2 linked regions of the Astyanax mexicanus genome follow. The protein of the gene in region 2 purifies or fractionates together with the protein of the main gene of each other region. This does not show direct contact. Links are inferred from orthologs where the notes say so. Each region holds a gene or a part of one and is shown on either strand. Other genes may lie near its edges.

Evidence for each region. The genes of interacting proteins can lie anywhere in the genome.
Region 1: the proteins of vsx1 (region 2) and wdr20a purify together in Homo sapiens (affinity purification with mass spectrometry; 3 studies listed by BioGRID and IntAct, with this or other methods). This does not show direct contact. The link is inferred for Astyanax mexicanus from reciprocal best matches to the Homo sapiens genes VSX1 and WDR20.

What each region holds. Positions count from the first base shown.
Region 1 is NC_064421.1:44,987,447-44,991,203, reverse strand, and holds the start of wdr20a (WD repeat-containing protein 20), read right to left. Parts: upstream 2,473-3,757; 5' UTR 2,463-2,472; coding exon 2,199-2,462; intron 1-2,198. Other genes in the region: uncharacterized protein LOC103042329, read left to right, coding at 3,307-3,349, 3,488-3,555. UniProt on the Homo sapiens protein: Regulator of deubiquitinating complexes. Activates deubiquitinating activity of complexes containing USP12. Anchors at the base of the ubiquitin-contacting loop of USP12 and remotely modulates the catalytic center of the enzyme.
Region 2 is NC_064421.1:31,041,906-31,045,662, reverse strand, and holds the start of vsx1 (visual system homeobox 1), read right to left. Parts: upstream 2,933-3,757; 5' UTR 2,882-2,932; coding exon 2,545-2,881; intron 1,064-2,544; coding exon 985-1,063; intron 904-984; coding exon 780-903; intron 127-779; coding exon 1-126. UniProt on the Homo sapiens protein: Binds to the 37-bp core of the locus control region (LCR) of the red/green visual pigment gene cluster. May regulate the activity of the LCR and the cone opsin genes at earlier stages of development. Dispensable in early retinal development.

The DNA.
Region 1 (3,757 bases), about 14 Mb from region 2:
ACAAGCGCAGTCCTTAACCCTCTATGGCATGATGCTGCCCTGAGGCAACAAACAAATGTTTTGGATTAATAGATCACTCCTTTATTTTTTATCATCAGACATTTTCCTTTACATGTCAAGTTGGGGAATAAATGGGGTTAACAGTTCTATATATTGCATATAGAAACATAAATATATATATATTTTTCTTTTTTTTACATTTCATATATATAAAAAAAAAAACATGTAAATGTAAAAAGTAGATATGGCTATTCAGATTTGATTTAATTTACTTACTAAAAAATATACATTTCTTTCGTTGTCTCAGGACAGCATAATTTATGTTCATTTATAACTTCCTAAGGCAATCATGCAGAAACAGTGATTCTCAAATTGAACTAAGACTGGTATACACAAATGACTGATAATACACCCCAAAATGTAGCAGGTACTAGGGGTCCCTGTTGATATAACAAACAAATATAAACCACTGCTTGCCATGTAATTGCATAATGTTGCAAACAGTTTCTGCATCACAATTAATAGCTAAATAAGCTAGTAAACACTTTAGTTCACTGCCTGGAACTCTTGTTGTTTTCCTCTGTCTAAATCCTTTTGAAATGTCCTTCTCAGCAAGAACACTGTATTAACCAGAAGCAAAAGAAAAATTAACACTGTTCTCATTTCCCATTGTATATCTACTAGAGACAGATTATATCTGTCCAGTATCATTCATTTTTTTTATTTAATACTGGATATATGTAGAGCGCAATATTAGTGCCATGACATTCTGGATCATTGACTTCTGTTACAAATCTGATAAACTTCTTGTATTTTTCAATATCTCAGTTAGGGGTGTGCCATTACATATCATATGCAATAAGAACATTTTATATTCATTTTGATGCAGTAGTCTGTATTCTTGAAATCATTTTTTAAATTCAGTATTTCGTCATATATTCAAGAGTATCGTTATCGTGATGATACCATGAAATATCGTGATATTATTTTAGTGCCGTATCGCCCACCCCTAATTCCTATAGCATTACATCTGACTGTAAATCTTTATAAAGGGACTAATAGTATAACAACTTCCGTATCCGGCCCCCCACTGTAAATAAGTGTATCTGTATCCAACCAAAACATGTTAAAAACACTTGCAACTTTTTTTTTTATTTATTTTTTATTTAAACTGATAATTACTGATGAAACCTGAAAAATTGCAAACATATGATGCAACATTATCCGTCCTCCCCGTTTGTTTTCAAACGAACTACTTACTTAGCTAAGTTAGATAACGTCTACCAGTAACGAGTAGCTGGCTCACGCAGCTAACGCTAGCTAGCACACTCAACAACACCTGAAACTCAAACTATAGATAATCCACATAAAAATGCAGAAACAACGAGACCAACGAGATTAGCCTGTTTCAAAAATATCAAAACAACAGTTATACAACACAGAGCCTTATCATTTCACACTTAGGCATACCTGGTTACTCTGGAAAACAACATTAAAAGGACCATATCCCGGACTTTTAAACATAGTTAGCTAGCTAACGTTATTGCTCTGTCTCTAAGTACGCACACACACACTCATACACAAGTTAACTAACTAACTATCTGCCTGATAAACAAGCAGTCACCAGCGTGACACACAGCTCTCACGAGTTTATGAAGAAAAATGGGCGATCTGGAGCTCTGAGCTCTCCATCGCAGCTGATTCATTCGTCTGAAACAAGTTGAAGCCAAGCTAACCAAACTAACGCTAGCTAGCCTAGCTCACAGTGGACGACCCTGCTATAGCTCTGTGCCAACATGATCGCGCTGCTAATGTTAATCCCTACACGACGAGTGCGTAATTATTAGTTACGCCTAAATTAGCAAGGCTAGTTCGCTTTAAAAGCAGGCAGGGGTTTGAGGAGACTCGTAAGGGTACAGAAGGAGCGGAGAGTGTTGGTCCAGCGGTGCCCATGACAGGTGTACCTGACGTTAGGCCCAAACTGACAGCTTGTCGGTCGGCTGGCTCCAAGAGCTAAATTAGCCAAGGCAAGCTAACGTTAGCAAGCAGTCCACGTAAAAACGCCGAGGGAAAGCAGCCAAACAACGACCTCCAGACTTCTCCGGACTTCCATCAACTTTCGCCTTCAGCGAACTGCAACCTGACACTTTAACTGCGCGCGTGAGGGAGAAAAGAGCGAGAGCTGCGGCGCTGTTTACCTTTCGGACGCCTTTGTAGATGTAGAAATACAGCTCCCGGCCCACATTGAAGCAGATTCGGTCGCCGTTGCCGGACTGGTCGTTTACGTTGACAAACGAGACCTTGACGGGGTTGGAGCCCTGCGAATTGAAAGGCACCCGGTTGGGGCGGCTGTACTCGGAGTGCGTGAGGAGTTTGTACGCGCCTTCTCTGGTCGTGAACTGAGTTTTGATCTCGTTCATCTCCTTCCCTCCTCCCTCCGCCGCCATCTTTGAAATTTGCATTCATCCTGGCCCAAGCCCGGATCTTACGCGCCGCACATGCGCAGTACCGAACACACAGGCTACTGCGGTCAGTCGGTTTTAAGGGAATTTTATAATCCTTACGCCACTTATAAAGAGCATTAAAAAAATATAAAATACTAAAAATACTAACATCATAATAATAATATTGTAAAGAAAGTGACATAAATATTTATCTGTGGCACAAATCAGTTTCTCTGATTTTGCTATTTATAGGTAACATTATATGTTTGAGTAAAATAAACAATGGTATTTTATTCTGTAAACTATGGACAACATTTCTCCCAAATTCCATATAAAATATTGTCATTTAGAGCATTTATTTGCAGAAGGAACTGGTCAAAATACAAAAAAAAATAAAAAAGATGCAGAGCTTTCAAACCTCAAATAATGCAAAAAAAAAAATGCATCTTGGCATGTTCTCCTCCACCAGTCTTACACACTGCTTTTGGATGACTTTGTGCCACTCCTGGAGCAAAAATTCAAGCAGTTCAGCTTGGTTTGATGGCTTGTGATAATCCATCTTCCTCATGATTTATAATCAATATATATACATATTGTAAGCGCATAAGAACCTCACAAAAATAATTATTTTTAAGTTACCTGTTTTTGAAAATAAACTTTCAGTGCTGGGGGCGTGTCAGTAAAACTGCTGTTACTCTCTTGTGTTTTATCAGAGTGTTTATATTAATTTAGTCGTACCCGTGGTGCGCAGTAACAGGGGATGAGCTAGGGCGCTGAAGGCGACATTAGTTTAACCTCGCTGATCCTCAGACCCACCTTTAATTTACCTGAAGCCGCTGCACTCAGCCCCACATGGACCACAATGCCGAGCAAACAGCCACGACGCCGAGGACATGCTGCAGCAGGTACAGGCCTTCAGCATGAGCCAGAAAACGTATTTAAAATATTTAAATTATTATAGAAAGAAAAGATAAATATAAAGAAGTTGTTGTAGAGATCTTCTAAAGACTTCATACATTTACTAATACAGATTATACTCACAGGTGTTCCTGACATAAGATCTGATCAGAGAGACCCAGTCACTGTGGACAGACTGGCATTCAAATACATGGTTGGACTTCATTCTTATAGAAACCAATTCTACCACCTGAAAATAAGTCATAATTATGAGATATTAAGTCCTTATTTTAAGATAGTAAGCCATAATTATTAGATACTATTAGAATAGTCGACAGTCATAATCATGACATGTTAAGTAACTATTTTGAGATACTAAGTAATAATTGAAATACTAAATCATAAATATGAAATAC
Region 2 (3,757 bases):
GGATTCTGGGAGAGGGATGGAGTGACGGACCATGGCGCCGTAGAGACCGTACTCGGCCATCACGCTGCTGCGGCCCCAGCACTTCTCCCGCTTCCTCCACTTCGCCCGCCGGTTCTGAAACCACACCTGGTAAAAAAAAAATGCAGTGTATTTAATTTACGCAGTACATTTATGTAGTGCTCATATTGTGCTCATTGTGTGCTTACTAATGCTACTTCTTTTTAGTACGTATAGTGTGTGTGTTAAAGTTCTCATAGTGTGATCATAGTGTGCTTCATGAAAACTCATAGTGCATTTGTTGGTTAAACAAGGTGGTTTCATAATGTGCTCGTTGAGTACGCATAGTGTCCTCATAGTATGCTCATGTAGTACTCATTGTGCGCTCATTGAGGTCTGATAGTGAGCTCATTGAGTGCTCAGTATGTGTTCACTGAGTACTCATAGTGTGCTCATGTAGTATTCACTGTGTGCTCACTGAAGGCTCAGTGTGAGTTTAATGAATACTCATAGTTTGTTCATAATGTGCTCATTTAGTTCTCATAATGTGTCAATTGAACAGTACTAATATGATCACTGAGTGCTTATTGTGTACTTATTGAGTGCTCATAGTGTGCTCACTGAGTGCTCATTATGTAGATACTGAGGGACCGTAATGTGCACATGGTCTGCTGTGATAATATATGAACCAGTTAGTAACGCAAAGCACCTTTAATGTGTGTGTGTTTGGTGTGTTGATGTGTGTGTGTGTGTGTGTGTGTGTGGTAGGAGAATGTGCCTACCTGTATTCTGTCCTCAGGCAGTTCTGTCTTCATTGCCAGCATCTCCCGTGCATAAACATCTGGATAATGAGCTTCGTTGAAGGCTTTCTCCAGCTCCTCCAGCTGGTGTGACGTGAACACAGTCCTGAAATCAATGTTACAGATCAGCACACACACACACAGTGACTACTCTAAAATAATCACTAATGCTCTCAGCTAGACTCACCTATGTCTCCGTTTCTTCCTCTTCTGTGAATTCGCAGAGTTTTTCCCATCAGCGCGGTCCCCCGAGAGACAGTCGTCATCTGAAAATCAGGGAGAGTGTTTAGTCAGACACACACACACACATATAATTTTACAAAACATACTTAATATACTGAGAGATTTCAATCTCCCACATATGATATAGCCAATATTTGAATTTACATGATTTTTGAAAGAGGAACTTCCCAAAAACAGTTGTTTAAATTAATCTTATCATGTCCAACATGTCACAGCCTTCATAATCTTGGTTAAAACATAGAGGGACAAAATAATGGACAGAACATTTAACTAATTATTTAAAGAACCTCAGCACAATAACAACTTTTTTTAAAGGTGCTTTGTAGAACTGCATATCTAAGACAAGAATCATGAAGGAAGTTTTAATTTAAGACTGTAAGGCATTCCATGGTATATAGGGCTGAATAGTGAAGTAAGTGTTATATACCCCTTTTTTATTGTTCTCTTACTACAACATTTAAAAACCTGCGTTTTAGAAACCTAAAATTAACCTTTAATGAAATATTAAAGAGCCTCAATATAAATATATTTTTTCGTTAGGGTTAATCTGCATAAACTATTTTAAGCACTATTACTGTTTTTTATGGACTGTTTTTTTCAGCACCTACACAAGTGAACAGCGCCCAGGTGCTAAAATAAGCCCGCAGTACAGAAAACGCTGAATATGTACAGCTCGATATTTGGTGATATTTCAGATATACGATTATGATCCGACACAGTAGCATTAAACGATAATATAACGTGCAAAATAGTAATGTAGTACTGCATCTCTTAAGCATATACTATAAGGGCAGCAGCTCCACTATTTGCGCATCACAATAAAAAGACAGATTTATTAATATAATAAAAAGCCTAAATGATGAATAATAAACTCTAATAAAGGAAGTAATGATTTAATTTGAAGTCGATTTAAATTCTCACTTTTCTCTTTTAGCCTCTCTGCCGGTCGTTTCTTTTTCTCTCTATTTCCCCCTTATTTGCTCTTTCCATATTCTGTCTTGTTACTTTCTGAATTCGTTTTATACGTTTATTTTATCACGTTCTTTACAGTTTTTAAATGGTTTGTTTTGGGGGATTTTTTTGTTTCTATTTAGTTTTCCCTTCTTTTCTTTAGTCATTTGCTTTTTTCGTAGTTTTTTTTAGTTTTCCGTTTTCATTATTTATTATTTCGTTTTTGTGTCTTGTTCTACTTATTATTTTTTATAAATTTCCTTCTTTATTCTTTGGTTGCTTTTTTTCCGTTTGTTCTTTTTTTCTGTTTTATTCTGTATACATCAGTATACATTAATTTAATTTAACACTGGTAAGTATAATTATAAAAATAGCATTTATTGTATTATTTATTCTTACTGTGTCATTAAATATGTAGTTAAATATGTATTTGTATTAAATACATGTATTGTTTAAAATAGAAAATGTAAAACTTTTTTTTTCCATTGTTTTTTAAAATTCAAAATTTAAGAAAAAACAAACAAACGAATAAATAAAAGCCTCGCGCTCTTACCGGAGAACTCGTCTCGCGCCTCCACGTATGGTGGCTCGGCTCGCGCCTGCAGCAGCGGTACGTGAGCCGGTATGAAGCTGCGCGCGCCCTGATGCTGCTGCTGTTGCTGCTGGTGGTGGTGCTGCTGTTGCGCCGCAAGGCTGCACAGAAAGCCCAGGCCGAGCGGAAACGGGAACGCGCCCACCGCGCCGCCCGGGCACGCGCTCCCCACTGCCGTCGGACACGCGGCCACTGCCCCGCCGCCGCTCGCGCCGTCCGGGTCCAGTCCCAACAGGTCCGTGATAGCAAAACCTTTAGCGCGCAGCCCACCGGGCCCGTGCGCGCGTGTCTTCTCCATATCCCAACCGTCTGTTTACGCGCGCTTTACTGACTGTATGAAGGGCGGCTCGTGCCAGGGGGGCTCAATATATACCCCCCACGGGACAGCCGGCGACCAATCACCAACCAGCGATTATTTTTTTATTTTTCAATCCCGCGGATTAATTGCCACCAATTTCTGCTTTAAATCCGATAAAGATTTTCCTGCTGTCTGAACTCAGACTCCCTTTTCTTTCTCTTATGATTACATTCCATCTCAACAGCACTTTTAAACGATTTAATTCATGTATTGTTAATAATAACGACAATATAATAATAATAATAATAATAATAATAATAATAATAATAATAATAATAATCTTATTACAGCCTTTTAAATGGCACAACACAAAAAATATTTTAAGACATTAAGTTATTCCACAAAGATTTGTGCACGTAAATAATTATTTTAAAATCGGCCCATATATATATAAATTCGTGTTACCGCTAATTTTGATTGTTTTTTTTCTGCAATAAAAAACACTCCATTACCGTTGAAATATTAAAATGTTAAGCAAGTAAATTATCTATTTAAAAAAAATACAAAATATGGAAAAAACCTGTGTTTGGCACAGCACTTTGATCGATCGTCCAGTCTGTCAGGTTTTGCTAAACAGAATTAAACAGACATGATAAGTTAAGTTCAACATACAAAAACAATAGAACATATTCGGTACCGAACATACTGATGCGCATTAAACAAGTGTAAATATAATTAAATCAAGTGTAAAAAATACACGTATTATAAACATGTTATTATGTGTGATATTAAAACAAATCTTTGCGTATGTGTTGAGTGTTTTTCTGGGCAGTCACCATTTCGTTGACTTTTTAACAAGCGCCAAAAAAAAATGAA